Linked DNA regions of Drosophila melanogaster. The protein of the gene in region 2 interacts with the protein of the main gene of each other region in a pairwise test. Each region holds a gene or a part of one and is shown on either strand. Other genes may lie near its edges.

What was found. The genes of interacting proteins can lie anywhere in the genome.
Region 1: the proteins of CG14234 (region 2) and CG4250 interact in a two-hybrid assay, tested with the Drosophila melanogaster proteins (one large-scale study listed by BioGRID).

Annotation. Positions count from the first base shown.
Region 1 is NT_033778.4:22,660,264-22,664,974, reverse strand, and holds CG4250 (uncharacterized protein), read right to left. Parts: upstream 1,284-4,711; 5' UTR 1,231-1,283; coding exon 1,062-1,230; intron 987-1,061; coding exon 854-986; intron 801-853; coding exon 698-800; 3' UTR 501-697; downstream 1-500. Other genes in the region: CG42565 (uncharacterized protein), read right to left, coding at 3,810-3,906, 4,114-4,424.
Region 2 is NC_004354.4:19,732,534-19,742,805, reverse strand, and holds CG14234 (uncharacterized protein), read right to left. Parts: upstream 7,237-10,272; 5' UTR 6,818-7,236; coding exon 6,731-6,817; intron 5,811-6,730; coding exon 5,445-5,810; intron 5,383-5,444; coding exon 5,218-5,382; intron 5,105-5,217; coding exon 4,763-5,104; intron 4,609-4,762; coding exon 4,423-4,608; coding exon of another isoform or gene 4,387-4,422; 3' UTR 2,350-4,386; downstream 1-2,349. Other genes in the region: CG18809 (uncharacterized protein), read left to right, coding at 1-1,026; COX6B (cytochrome c oxidase subunit 6B), read left to right, coding at 1,609-1,899; AP-1-2beta (adaptor protein complex 1/2, beta subunit), read right to left, coding at 8,576-9,916, 9,982-10,272.

The DNA of each region.
Region 1 (4,711 bases), on a different chromosome or scaffold from region 2:
CGCTTGCTTGAATAATAACTTACTTATATAAACATGTTAATAAAATTGGACATCGAATTTGCATCATTTCAGGTATTAATCTGGATACTAGTTGCCAACATTTTTTAAATTATATGAAATTAACTAAATATTGTTGCCCATCTTTTTTATTGGTATTATTGCAGAAAAAGTTGTAATCAAATAAACGGATAAGCGATCAAATTACCTTGTTTCTTCCCTATTCCTTTGTTTAGTGTTTAATTCGAAGAGGGGAAATATAAAATCTAGGTATTAAATTACAAACCTTTTTCCACTGTTCATTGACATAAGTTGTTCAATATACATATATATATATATATATATCCAGTTTCAAGAAGAGGCAGCGATTGTTAGATCAACAATGTGAATGAAGTTATATAAAGGGCGTAGGATGCAGAACCTCAGATAAAAATATCTATAATATATTCCCGCCTCAGAAATTTCCGGGATTTATTAATATTATATACGAAAGTGTTAACATTCATATATCGCCAACAATTTGTGTGATTAGAAATTTATTTTGAAAAGTAAACCAATGCGAAAATTACATACATATATTCAATTGATTTGAACCAGAGTTGTATTTCGTGAATATTCGTGCCAAATCTGATCCCATCAATAGGTGTGGAGATACAAAGTGGGATCTATCCCTGTAATATTTGGTGTTGAGATAGCACTTCTAGTTCTTGTAGGTGCCCACGTAGGCTCCACAGCTGGTGCAGGTGTGTTTGGCCGACTGGCAGGAGTCGGTGCAGTACGGAATGCAGCAGCAGCAAATGCCCCTGAAAATGGCCATTAGTCCTGCGGGCAGGTGGAGCAAACGGGCTGCACTTACCCCAGCATGCAGATGAGTAGGGCCAACAGGTGGGTCTTGGTGCTGGGCTCGAACTCCACCTTCGTCTCCCTGCGGACGCCGCAGCTCGGACAAGTGGCAACGGATGGACATTGGCCCAGGACATTGGGTGGAGCTGAAAGAGGCACGATTGGATTTCGTATAATATGCGATATTATATTTTATGTTTGAATTGCACAGAAGAATTGACCATTATTTCCGATTGATTCATAGTTCTCTGTATTCTCACCCTGCAATATCACTCCCTGTCCCTGATGGAGCTGAGGATAGACCTGCTGCGGTGCGCTATCATAACTGGGCGGTGCCTGGAAACCCGGAGCCTGAGGCTGCATATTCTCGTATTGAAAGTTCTTCTCCATTCTAATTATTCCGACCGATGTGTGCTACGCGTTTGAATTGCCGACAGCGACTGAAACCGCAGAGAGCTCCTCCAACATTGCTCGGCGAACTTTCGAGTTGCGGCGCGATGCGAATTCTATATAGCCCTACTATGTCGGATGGCTTGCTAAGCGATTTCCGTTAAATATTATGTGGCTATCAGAATAAGGGCTTTTACATGAGTAAGTGTTCTTTTTTTTTTGCAGGATGAAAAGCTTTAGTAAGAAATTGCTCAGCCATGATGAATTAATTAATATCAAAACTTACCAATAAAACAGAAATGTTAGCACTTAGTAGGGTATTCCATTGTCAGGTAAACAAACCAGTAGCTTTTACCCTTCCGAAATGGTCCTTCCAGCTATGCTATTAGCACGTATATAACAACAATTTGCATATTTATTGAAAACATAAGAAATACTCAACTCTGCTCAAGAATTGCGTTGTCTCTAAAACAAATCAACCCCCAGGTAAAATCCACTCGTTTCTTCCTTGAACCCTTTTATTGGTGTGCTGAAGAATACATATGCCGGCACTACAATGATTTGTTTTGTTATCAAAATAGTGCGTAGTAATAAATGTGAGAGAGTTAAAAATAGATCAAGTGGGGATAAGTAATGGGGGCTGCATTTCGGCACGGCTGCTGGCTGCAGTCCACGACAAAAAAAAAAAAACAACTTCCGGCGGAAGTTGCTCAGCGCTCGTAGGTGCCAATGTAGGCGTTGCAAGATGGACAGTGGTGGTCGGAGTTCCGGGCGCATTGAGTGCAGTACAGGCAGCAAGCAGGGCCAAAGGCTGCACGAAAGAGATCACTCAATGAGAATGCACCCAGAATGTTAAGAAATCAATATCGAACATGGCTTACAAGGTAAGGCACATAATCAATGCTATCAGGTGAGTCTTGGTGGTGGCTTTCGGCTCCACACGAGTGGTAACCTGTTGACGGCAACTGGGGCAGACCACGATGCACGGTTCCGGGCCAACGGAAGTGGACATTTCGATGGCGGAGCTGCAGAAAGAAAGCACAGGAAACTCTAATAACTCTCATATTGATTGCAGCGCAGACCTTGAAAACTTGAATACGTCGCGTGCCGCTGGTGCATGAGCATTAAATTGGCTGGTTAATGGGGATTTTAATTGCACACCCGCCATGCAAAACAAGCTGTAATCCGCCTTATCTCCCGTCGATGGCACCACGGTGCTGCGCAATCCCTCCTGCCGCCGTGAGGTCATCCTCGTGGGCCACGGAATCTCTTGTGCCATGTGGCAAGCTTCGTGCCGACGCCGTCATCGCACAACCGCGTGTGTCTGAGCCCCGCTCAACCCCGATTCCATCCATCATCTTTGCTCGTCGTTTGGTGCAACTTGCTTGCTCGGTCTGGTCCTATCCAAAATCAACACAATCTATTTATGTATGTTCTCACTAGCGCAAACCACCCAGCACAGTATCCTTATTTAACAGCGGGTGTGTCCGTCGCCAGTGATTAACATTCCCCCCGAAATCCTACTGTCGTCCTGTATGTCTTTGCTGAGTTCTCCCCCAAGCAAAAGTAAATTTTTTGGGGAGCGGCAAAGCAGCGGTAAACATCTAAACAACCAGATATTACCCAATTAGACCTGACTATAATAGTCCGTTGCTCATGTTTGACCCAATCCTAGGCTTGCATAATATATCTCTCCCGTCATACTTACAATCTGTATGGGTGGGTACGTTGTCAAAATAAATAAAGTAGAATTCCGATTTCACAGAGAGACAAAAAGTTAATGCGCACTGTTTGGGCTGCGAAAGTGTTGTGCGGTCAGAAGTTTAGGGCGCGAAGCGGGACACTACACTTCCAAAAGTATTTCCGTTAGCAACATTATGTTGCCTAACTGGGAAGTGATATTTATATACATCCTTAAAATTGATTACAGCGTATCCCTAGGCTGAGTTAAATTAAAATCCTTTTATTCCATTTCTTAAGAACTAAACATTTAGCAGAAATTCAAATATTTTACTAAATATTCAATTATAATGCAAAGAACTTCAGTGATTTCATTTAATAGCATGAACAGTAATCTTGAAGCATCTTAGCATCAATTTAAACTGTGCCAACATGCCGGTTCGTCCCAGCAACATTTTACCGGTTCAAAACAGTTTCATATCAACATTTATTGCTGGACACAAAAGAGTTGTGCTACGAAAAAGTTTCGGGAAAAGACCGCCAAAAAGTACACAAAAACAAAAAAAAAAAACGTATGAACAATTAAGTTTCACATTATTTTTTCTGCAAATCTAGTTGTCTGCAGCAACAATGTAGCCAGATACCCAGAAACAGAAATTAAAGAAAATTCCATTCGCTTCAAAATCTATTTGTTTATTTTTTCGCTGTCAGCTTATTTTGCTCACTAAGCAAACATATTTTTATGTATGTTAAGTGATGAAGACACCACATTGACGCCGTCGATACATAAGGAGATATGAACATACATACATATATGTATGTATAGTTGGTTATGTATATATATATACATATATATAAAATGAAATGATATGAAATCGGCGAGTGTTTTCGCTGCGTCTTCAAAACGAACCCAAGCAGGAGTTGCAGTTGGGACAGTACTGGGAGGTCTTGTAGCAACAGTTGCAGCAGCAAGGGGCGCAGACGCAGGGCCAGCATCTGGTGGATAGAGATGGGAAATAGAGTATATAGCTTATAAGGCACGATCAGCAATTTCTCATAGCTTGTCCAGGAAGAAGCAAAACAATTGCGGCCACAGATATAGCAGACTAGTAAAAACATTTCTTTTTCCGTTTGCTTACATACACATTATGTATGTACAAACCTTTGTTGCTATACTTGCAACCATAAATGCGATCTACTTACAGGAATAGGCAGAGCAACGCCGCCATACAGTAAGTTGATCCGGTAGGATGGTGCTCCACGCGAAGGCGAATCCGAGCGTTGCAGTGGGGACAGATCGTTCCCTGGCGGGTATTGTCCACCAGCACTGTCGTCTGGTGATGCATCACGCTTACGGGCTGCAACACCGGCATGGTTTGGGCCATCACGGGTATCACCGGATTGGGATGTGCGGGCGACGCCAGGTTCTGCTGCATGACGTCCTCCGCTGGAGGAGCGGTGGCGAATGGATCCGAGTAGGGCGGCGGGGAGTCTACGCGCTTGTAGCAACGCATGCTTTTCTATACTCTTCAAATCACACTAAAAATATCAACCAGTTGCTTACAGCTGCGAACGAGCACTGATATAATACTGAAAGCTTCCGTATATGTATATCGATGACAGTTTCATTAAACTCAGAACTGCCTTATCGGTATCGGTATTCAATTGATTCGCTTTCCTCATATTCTGGGTATTTATCCTAATACGAATATAAAATCTATCTACTGGCACACTAGGTGAGGAAATTATGGACCAGAAAAGATTACTTCATATGTGCAGTGAGAGTAGTAGAAACCATCCG
Region 2 (10,272 bases):
GCACGCGGCCATCAGCGCGGCTACTACGAGCGTGGCTCTGGTTCCGGATCCTCCAGACGAGAGCACAGTCGCTACAGTCGCAGCCGTTCGCGTTCCCGCAGTCGCAGCCGCTCCGCCGAACGCTTTGGCCAGCGTCGCCGCCACCAGAAACGGCAGTCATCCCGTTACCACAGAGACCGCGACTCCAGAGATCGCTCCCGAGATCGCTCCCGAGATCGCTCTAGGGATCGCGAACGTGATCGCGATAGGGACCACTCAAGGCGCTCCAGCCACTATCGACGCTCGGAATCGCCGTCCTCTTCTGACATTGGCCATGGATCCAACAACAGTCAACGAAGAGGCCACCATGCATCATCATCCAGTAAATCGGAGCTAAGCGCCGTACAGAAGGCAGCCGCTGCAGCTGCCGCCGCCACAAATCAAGTCCAGTTGGCTGGCAAGAGCAGTGCCGCGTCCGCGGTGGGCGCCTACTACAACCTGGACACCGACGAGCCCTTTGACAAGGAGCGCATCCACCGCGAAATGGAGCAGAAGCTGCGCGAAGCACTGGCCAGGGAGGGCAAAGTGTATCCGCCGCCAAAGCCTGAGCCACCATCGCATCCTGTCTTCGCCAACGACGGCTCGTTCATGGAGCTGTTTAAGAAGATGCAGGAGGGCCAAAAGCAGCAAGCGACCAGCCAGTTGATGCAGCCATCGGTCAAAGAGGTCCTGCAGCAGCAGTTGGTTCCGCCGGAGGCGGCCTCCACAGGGCCTGCACTGCCGGCCATTGCATTGGGAGCTGCCAGCAGTGCTGCGGCGCCGTACATTGCTGCCGCGGCGGCCGGAAAGCTGGCGCCGCCGCCACCCATCGTGGGACGACGTCGCGGCGGAAAAGTTCTCAAAACTGGCGTAGTGGCCAAAGTGAAGACGCCCAATGAGAGCGACGTGGACCCGAAGGACTTCTGGTCGTTGTACCTGGCCGAGGTCAACAAGTACAAGAGCAACGCCTGCGATACGGACAACGGCAAGCGGCCGCTGGTCAAGTAGTCGCCGAAATAGTCGCGCTTTCCATAGAAACATGAACTTGAACGCAAAAAGAGCGAGAAACGTATACTGCCCAGACGCAGTACTGCAGATTCGATTTTGATTCGACCATACCCCTGTTCCCGAGACACCATCACATAGCGATCCCTTCCCGGCCCCTTTGAAATGTTTTGTACACGAAAACAAGCGAGCAGAGATGCGTAGCTTATAGTTTTAGTCGAGAGTGGGTGGGCTTATGAGCTGCAAGCGCGAGCAGTGTAATTTGTATTTTTTTCACACGAATCGATATAATATAATATAATATGATATATACCGCTCATTAAGCAAACGCAAACTGAAGAACTAACCATTGTGATTTATATATCTATCTCTTCCTTCCCGTTTATGCACTGAAATTGTATTTACGTTTGATTTCGATTCGGTTGTGTACCGCCTCACATCCCATCCCACCCCATTGTGTTCATCTCTTTCTTTTTCATTTGGACAACGATCCATCTGTCCCGGTCTTCGTTTTGGTTTACTATTTGGTTGCCTTACCGTTTCGTTTCGTTATGTTTTTATTTTCCTTTGCCAACTAAAGTCTATATGCAATTTTTCATGTCCAAAAACAAAAGCAGCGACAAATCGTCAGACAGCAGCAACATGTCCGCCTACAAGCTGGAGACCGCCCCGTTCGACCCACGGTTCCCTAACCAGAACGTGACCCGCTACTGCTACCAGTCGTACATCGACTTCCACCGCTGCCAGAAGAAGCGCGGCGAGGACTTCGCGCCCTGCAACTACTTCCAGAAGGTCTACAAGTCGATGTGCCCCAACGCCTGGGTGGAGAAGTGGGACGACCAGCGCGAGAGCGGCACATTCCCCGGCCGCATCTAAGCTGCGCCAGAGACGCAGCAACACAGTAAACCCAGCAATCCAGCACCCAAACACACAGGACACGATCGATGGACGGACGGAGGTAGAGGAGCGTGGTAACCAGAATCCGGCAATTGCAACAGAGACTAGTTTGTGTTTGTGCTTTCCCCAGCGGTGAATGCAGACCATCATCGGCAAATACAAAAAAAAAAATACACAAATGTTCAATTACTTGAATTCTGAACCGATCGTTTGTGTTTGTTTCTTCTTGATCCTTGATCCTTGATCCTTGATTCTTGGTCCTGCCGTTGCTGGCCGAACTGGCATCCGAATCAGATCGACGCCACGCCACTGTATTCCGATGTGTTATTATTAATAAACAATTAGACACAAAGAGTCCGGTGTTTCGTCATTTGATCCACTTGTTGTGAGTGGATGAGAGGTTCTGTAACTTAAAGAAGAAAAACGCACATGTGGCCTGCATCGTTTATTTAATATTACTTTTCTGTTTGCTCATTACAAGTTGTTTAATCTTTGGCAGCCCGTCGTCTCAAGACTTGATTTCATTCGGAAATCGGATTCTTTCTGGTTATAATCGCTTTTGGCCTTTTTGTTATATTAGTTTTTAATTGGATTTCATTAGTGGTGTATACATGTGTGCAACTCTTTTTATGATTTTCACTACTTTAGTTTGCAGTTATTATCCTTTTTTTTTATATATATATTTTATTAAACCGAATTGAGTGTGTCGTACAAAACGTCTACTGTTTGCCGAAGTTAAATGCATTATCGTGCTGCATTAGACATTGCTGTTGAACATTAGAACGACAGGAGGATAGAGTGAACAACTAATAGGAATCAAAGTATAAGCACTTGAGTTTGAGAACAAAATTCGGAAATATAAAGTCTATAGTCTTCGATAGTAATAAATCAACAATTGCGGACGGCAGCCATTCCTAGAAACTAATTGCTAATCAACTTAACAGGAAACTCGAGTTGTATTTAGTATAGGTGTTTGCGACTTGGAAACCAACCGATTCGACATGGAAGTTCCTGCCCGGCAATGTCCAATCCTTCTTTGCGGCTTGGAGAAAGAACCCTTCCAGTTCTAGTTCTTCCCCTAAACGCATCACTTTATCTATTTATTGGTTGTAGGTGTGTCCAGCTAAAAGGGCTTAATCCGTACTGTGGATTGAGAAATACGTCCGTACTTTGAAATGAAATGTAATGTTGCTTGGAAACAAAAGCGGATGGAAGACGACCACAAGACTTCTGAAAACCAGATGCACGGACTCATTTCGCTCTAGTAACCCGATTAAGCCCCATAATCAGACCGTTTAAAATGCTTTATATCACTTAAATTGGTATGTCTCGGCTAGCATATATAGCGTGAATTTCTGAAGTTTGTACCGCTGTTTGCATGGATCTAATGTCTTAAAGTATATATATATATATATATATATATATATTTCGAACGCTAATCTTACGGATAACGCTAAGACGGCTGATCGAGCGGATCGTTGGATTCTGACTTGGTCGAGCCCCAAGTGCGCCCCTTGCAGCGGATTGTGATTTACTGGTATCGACAATTAAGTGGCTTAGTGGCTTTGGCTCATCCGGGTAACTGGCTAATCCTAGTTCTAGTCTACTACTAGTCTAGATGGCTATGGCTCCAACTTCCCCCTCCCCCTCCCCACCCTCTCTTATTGTACTTAATAGGTATTGTATTGTATTTTCGCCTGCCTTGAGCCTCCGAGAAACTGCTGTGCGATGATCGAGTGTTTGGAGTTTACAACGTAATGCTTATATATATAAATATCATGCTAGATAGTTGAAATGGAACTCCTGCAGCTGGGATGCATCCCATTATAATCGTAGAGTTATAACACAGATATGAACCGGATTAGTAATTGCAATTGCCTGGCTATATACGAAAAAGGGAGAAGCTACGAGTACTGCGTTGGGTATAGTGTAGTTACAGGAATCTCAGGCACCCATGATCCACCACCACAATCATGCATCACGCAGCCCATCGCTACATACATATGTAGTGTAGGTATTCCTATCTGTAGTAACATTCGATTAAGTGAAGAGAACAAAAGCTTCCTGCCAGCTTCCTTCCGTGCTGTCCATCATCTTAGACTCTAGCTGTGCACGATGCGATTAATCTTAGTCTAGACTATCTCGTCCCCCTGATCTGTGGCTGGCGCCAGCTCCAAGGCTTCCATGCGAAACCAGCTAAAGATCCGTCGTATATCCTCTGATATTTAAAGCTTCCAATGACCATCCACTCGGTTCTGTGCCACCATTTCCGCTTCCGTTTGTGTTGTGTCCGGCACTTGGTGCCTCGTCTTAAAAAGTCTACATGCAACCGTACTTGTGTGAGTCCTCCGCCGCTCTACGTGGCGGCTCCCTAGAGCCCCCAATCCCGTTTAACTATCCAACCATACAGTTGTGTCCCCCGACCATGACCACATCCGCGCCCAAGTACCGCAGCCCGTAGCCCCCCTACGGGTATAGTTACATGTAGCTATTGCTTGTTTGTTATCCAATGTCACGGACGATCTCGATCTTGTCGCACAGCTCCGAGTCCGGATCGTGGATGGTGGTGAAGTGCGTGCGGTCGCTCCGGAACGTGTTTCGTTCGTTTGAGCTGCTCTTTATCGATCTCTCCGACGGCGTCTCCGTGCCGCTCAGCTGGATGCGCTTCTGCAGAGCCGACACGAAGTTCTGCAAACAAGAGATGCCCACAGGATCAGCTTGGTCTGCTACGACGCAGTAGTCACGCGCTAAGGTGCCTAGGTATGCATACATCATATACTGTTGCATACTTTTGGACACCTTTACTCGCATTTCCGGGTCCATATGAGAGCAAACCACTCACCTGCGATATGATGTCACCACGGGCCGTGCGCACCTGGTACAGATAGCGGAACTTGCGCTGCCTGGCCTCCTCGCGCGTCTCCCGGGTGCGGGATTGGGATCGCCGGACGGGAGCGATGCCGTGGTTGGGTCCCGCCTGCTGCTGGCTGTGCGGCAGATGGGCGCCGTGCGCGTGGCCAGGATGGTTGTGATGCCGCATGTACACCCGCTTGCGGTGATCCACGCGCCAGGCGGTAATGAAGCACTGCACCATGATGCTGAGCACAATGGTGACGGGCCAGGCGGCGATCAGGAGGCCACCGTAGCAAGGTGGCGGCGAGGGATGCGGCCGCATGCCGATTATCTGCAGAGAGTTATATAATTCCATCAATGCTTTCTCCACCCTCCGTATCAACTAAACAGACAGCTTCACATCGAACCAGCCAATGGTGGACATGTGGAGCAGACATGACTCACCCAATTGATGGTCTCCAGACCGTGCGTGAAGAAGTCGATGGCGCTGAGGATCATGGCCGTGCCCACAATGCTGGAGGTGAGAATGGTCACGTACTTCACGCAGCACAAGGTCAGCACGGAGCAGATGACGGCTCCACCCACCACGGCCACATAGATCTCGCGGTACTGCGGTAGGGGAATCGATATAAGCATCTGGTGCAAGCAAAACAAAGAGGGGAGGAACTTACCCCAAACTCGTTGTCCGGAAAGGTGGCCACGCAGACGGCCATGGCTGCGCCGGAGAGCAGGGCGCCGGCAAAGGCGCTAATGAGGACAGAGGCCACCGGATATGTGGAGCCGAGCACCGCGCCCAGCAAACCCGCCACAATGGCCAGCGCCGAGTCCGCCGGCTTGCCCAGGAAGGTGATCTGGAAGTCCTGCAGAATGAAGATCCCGTTGGCGCCCACCAGCAGTCCACTGAGAAAGCCCACGGCGCGCAGGCATCGGTAGCCGAGTAGCGCGTACACGATGCCAAACACGGCGAAGATGGCCCACAGGATGGCGGCCAGCGGCTCCGGCGCAGTGGGCGTGCACGTCTGCCCCTCCAGGATGCCCTGCGGGAGGAGGTCACTGGTTATCGGGGGCGTGTCACCGTAATGCGACCAAGGACACGACACACTTATCAAGCAAGGGCCGTGCGCTGACGCCACTACTCGCCCAGCACACCACCCTGCTCACTTCTGGTCACTGGCCAGAGCAGTGAGCAGTAACTCACTTCAACCTACTTCAGGTGGCTTCAAATTGGCCATTTTGCAGCCACTTAGCCAACGCATTGCACGGTGGCAGGCATAACCACTTGGCTCACATAAAAACACGGGATATATCTCCTATAACTAGTATTAAATCGGTTGGAATCAGCGGGACTGATTAACTTAAAGCCTATAAGTTCTGTAATATTTCATATTGAATATTATCCAATGAAATCGCTATAGAATTAATTAAAAGGGGAAAAGGAATCGTTATAATCCTTAAAGAACTTGACGAAAAGAACTCTCTCCTAAAAAAACCCTATTTGACTAAATTTACATTAGAATATCAATTAAGGATTATAGTTGAAGTAGTAGTAGTAGTTCATAGTAGTTCTATATCAAGCATAGTTTAGAAAGTATAAACATAGAAACATAAGCAATGAGCAACCTATAAAATAATACGAAATATGATCTAAGGATGTACACATATTGTATTTAAAGGGACTACGGATTGTTTACAGCTGGCGGAGTTTTACCCTCCCCAGATCCGATTACAAGGTGGAATAAGCCTTCGGGAGCCTGACAGGGATGCACATGAAGCTCTACATACATTCGCGTCCTCGCAGTGACAAAGCTGTTGACACACAAACCCCACTTATACACATTATACTCGACACTTTGCATATTGTAGTCTCGACTTAACCTAAAAAGCGTGCAAATATGTCGAGGGTTTGGGAAGAGGGGTTGATGGACAAGGGCGGTTGCGAGGGGCTGCTGATACGAACCTTGATGAGAAAGGGCCAGTCCAGGTGGGTGGTGCTCATGGAGTCCTCGCTGCCGTAGTCATACACCATGTCCGCCGCCACCCTCATTCCGGCGGACTAATTTTTGGCGGACCCTTCTCAACGGAATCTGCGATCTGGTGTACTCGATGCTCTTGGTCTTGTCCTTGTTGTTCTGGTTCTTGTTCTTCTACACAGCACTGGCGGATTGTCCTCTTCGTGGCGTTGTTTCGTGTTGGTTGCTCTTCACTGGCACAAAAGGACTCCGCATTCCTGCACCGTTCGCAGGGGCATGGTTGGTTACACCTATGCCTGTACACCTATACTACCACCTGGCTGGATTGACTGCGAAATAGGGCGTAGCACCTGGATGTCCTTTTGCAGCGAGTGTCAAGCGATCCTGCGGCCAATTTACTGCGGGTACATTGCAGTATTTGCACACATTTTCGCACTGCGACGTGCGATACGGATTCGTTACAATCGGGGCCAAGCCAGAATAGCTTGTGGTACAACAGGAAAACAGTGGAGCAGGCAAACAGTCAGTGTGTCCTGTGGCCACGACAGGGATGGCTACACGTCCACGTCCTCGATGGGCAAGCCTGTCCTCTCTTGCGCTCTCGTTGGTCGCACAGGCATCCAAACAACCCCCGAAGGGTTCGCGCGAAAGCTTCGAAAGCTCAGGCGCCGAAGCTCGACGCCACCACCCATCCTTCGCATCCCTGACCAGGTATACCACATTCCGCTTATACCCTTAACTGGTCCACTGCTGTCTTGATGAGCCCATTACAACCATTGCTAAGTGGGTGCCTCAGTTAGTACCAATTGCTGCAATCTTTCCACTGACCAGCATGATCAGTTGGGAATCCATTATATATATATATATATGTATATCCTTTGCATACAACATGGTTATCCCTGTAAACATGGAAGCAAAGCTTTGGGATATGGTTTGACTCCTCGGTAGCTTCGATAGCTTTGGGTGTCTGTACAAATCGCTACAGAATGCTCCACTTACATACGTGGGCCAATGTGGGCGTGGCCATAGTTTGACGCAAAGTTGATCTGCGCGGGAAAAGCGCTTTGCAACTCCTATCTGATGGATTCTATATTTGCAGCAGGAAAACCTCTTTCTCCTTAACGAATTTTCAAGTAAATATGATATTTCAAATCTAACTTTTGAGTTTCAAGCCTAGTTTTGGATTTTAATGATCCTAAATATTGATCAATATATTGACTTTTAACCTAACTGATGCAATTATTTTCTCAGATCTTCGACTTAGAAAACTTACTTTGATGCACTTTGACTTTGAGCTGAAAGTATAAAAATCTTTCAGGCTTACGAACGGACAAATATTATAATACACAGTTTTAATTATAATACTAAAATCATAAATCATAATCATGCGTATTTGGAACCTTGTAGAAATGACCATTGAAAGCGAATAGAAACTGTGCTTAGTGCAACTGCCGTCGAGGAAAACAATGTCACAATTATTTAGTGTTTCGCATTTTACTAGGACACAAACATATACATAGATGCCGACCATAGGACATATGGGGTTACAGAGTTTTGGAATGCGGTTATGCAACGTTGCTATTACACGTTAGTACACTGAGTGACAAGCAGCTCCGATTAACAATTAACAGATCTCTCGACGAACCCGATTGGATTTTATATGTGTGCATATGCATAAATAATATATGTAGGTGGCGATTCGGCCAATACACAATATAATAATAATACGTAAATTTACAACTTATTGTTGAGCTAATCTTCAACACACGCAAATCGATAGCTCCAATTGCTTTGTGCTTATCCTATGCCATCGGATGTGCGCCATGGAACGCTTATGGAGAACGGATGATGGCCTCGTAGGCGGCGAAGATTATGTTGGCCACCTCCACGGAGCGCGATTTGAGGCTGAGAGTGGCTTCCGGATTGCCCGGCTGCAGCTTTAGCTCCAGCAGCACCCAAATGTTGTTGGTCAGCTTGAGTGACTGGTAGAGCATGTCCTGGCCCTCGACGTTACGCTTGGCGATGGTGAAGATGTTGTTGGTGGTCATCTTGGAGGCGATGCCGTCGGTAGTGCCAATTACACCGCTCAGGGTGTACTGCAGTTCGTTGGCGGCGGGGATCTCCTTCCAGGTGTTGAGGAACACGCGCTTGTCCAACTGCCCATCCTCGGCGAACAGCACGTTGCCGTGCACCAGGCACGCGAAGTAGAAGATGTCGATGTTGTTCTTCACGGCCACCTGCAAGTTGTTGAGCGGCTCCATGCGCTGAATGGGTCCGTTGGTGCCCAAGGCCATGCTGACCTCGATCGATTGGTTGGGTGGAAGGGGAGCAGCCTGCATGGGCGACGCGGGCACCAGGCCGAAGCTGTTCTTGTTCAGTTGGATGGCGAAGTTAGTCATCGGCTGCATGGCTTTGTTGGTCAGAGTCATGTCCATGAACACCTCGCCGTTGCGGCGTGAGAACGTTCCTTGTATTTCGAGTCCCTTGCCCTTCTCCGCTGGCAGCCATGTGACCTTGGGAATCTGAACACCCACCGATAGCGTTGCTCCGCCCAGTCCAAAAATGTCGCCTAGCAGGCTGGTGGCACCGCCGGGAGCCGCCTCTGCTGGCGGTCCACCGAGGAGTATATCAAGACCGCCGCCCAGAAGGTCCACATTGCTGGTGGCGGCCGGAGCAGATGGCATGGCGGGTGCGTTGATATCCATGGAGAGCAGATCTCCAATGAGCGACTCCTGGTTGGGAATGACCATTGCCTCTGAGCCGGCTGCGTTTTCTGCTTGCTCTGCACCAGCTGCAGATCCAGCGGCTCGGTTGGGCAGCGACTTGCGCACACCGGCTCCGCGACCCTCCACGAACGCGGTGGGAGGCTTATGATAAACGCTGGCCAGCGAGCTAATGTGGCAGATGAGCTCGTCCAGCAATGTCGGCTCCAAAAGGTCGGTCTCCTCTGAGATGAGTGGCTTATCGGCCAGCACCACCTCCTTGGCGGCGGCCGGGTCCGTGGACAGGAGACGCCAGTAGATGAAGCCACGGTCACGCAGATCGGGGTTGTCCGAATCCTGGGTAGCCAATGATAGTACGTGCTGCACCAGCTCCTGGGTGTCCGACGGGCGCTTGAGGAACAACTTAACCACGGCCGTCAGCAGCTGCAACTGCACCTGTGCATTTTCATCCTGGCGAAAGAGAAAATAGCAATTCAAAGTCCTGATAATGTTGGCAAATCCAGAGAAAAACTTACCTGGAATCCTTCAAGGAAGCTGTCAAGCAGCTCGTCCGCGTTGTCAATGCGCTCTGCGTACTCGCCAATGATCCAAACCATTGATGCGCGTGCCTCCGGCTCGTCCAGAGTGTCCAGATTCTCGCACAGCGTGCTGATAATGCTCTCGTACTTGTTGGGGTACTTGCGGAAGATGTCCTTGATGACCACAATGGCCTCCTGCACCACGTAGTTGACCTTGGTCTGGATAAGATCAAGCAGCGTGGACACGCAGCGTTCGGCTGAGGGCTCCACCTTAATGGCGCATCGCCC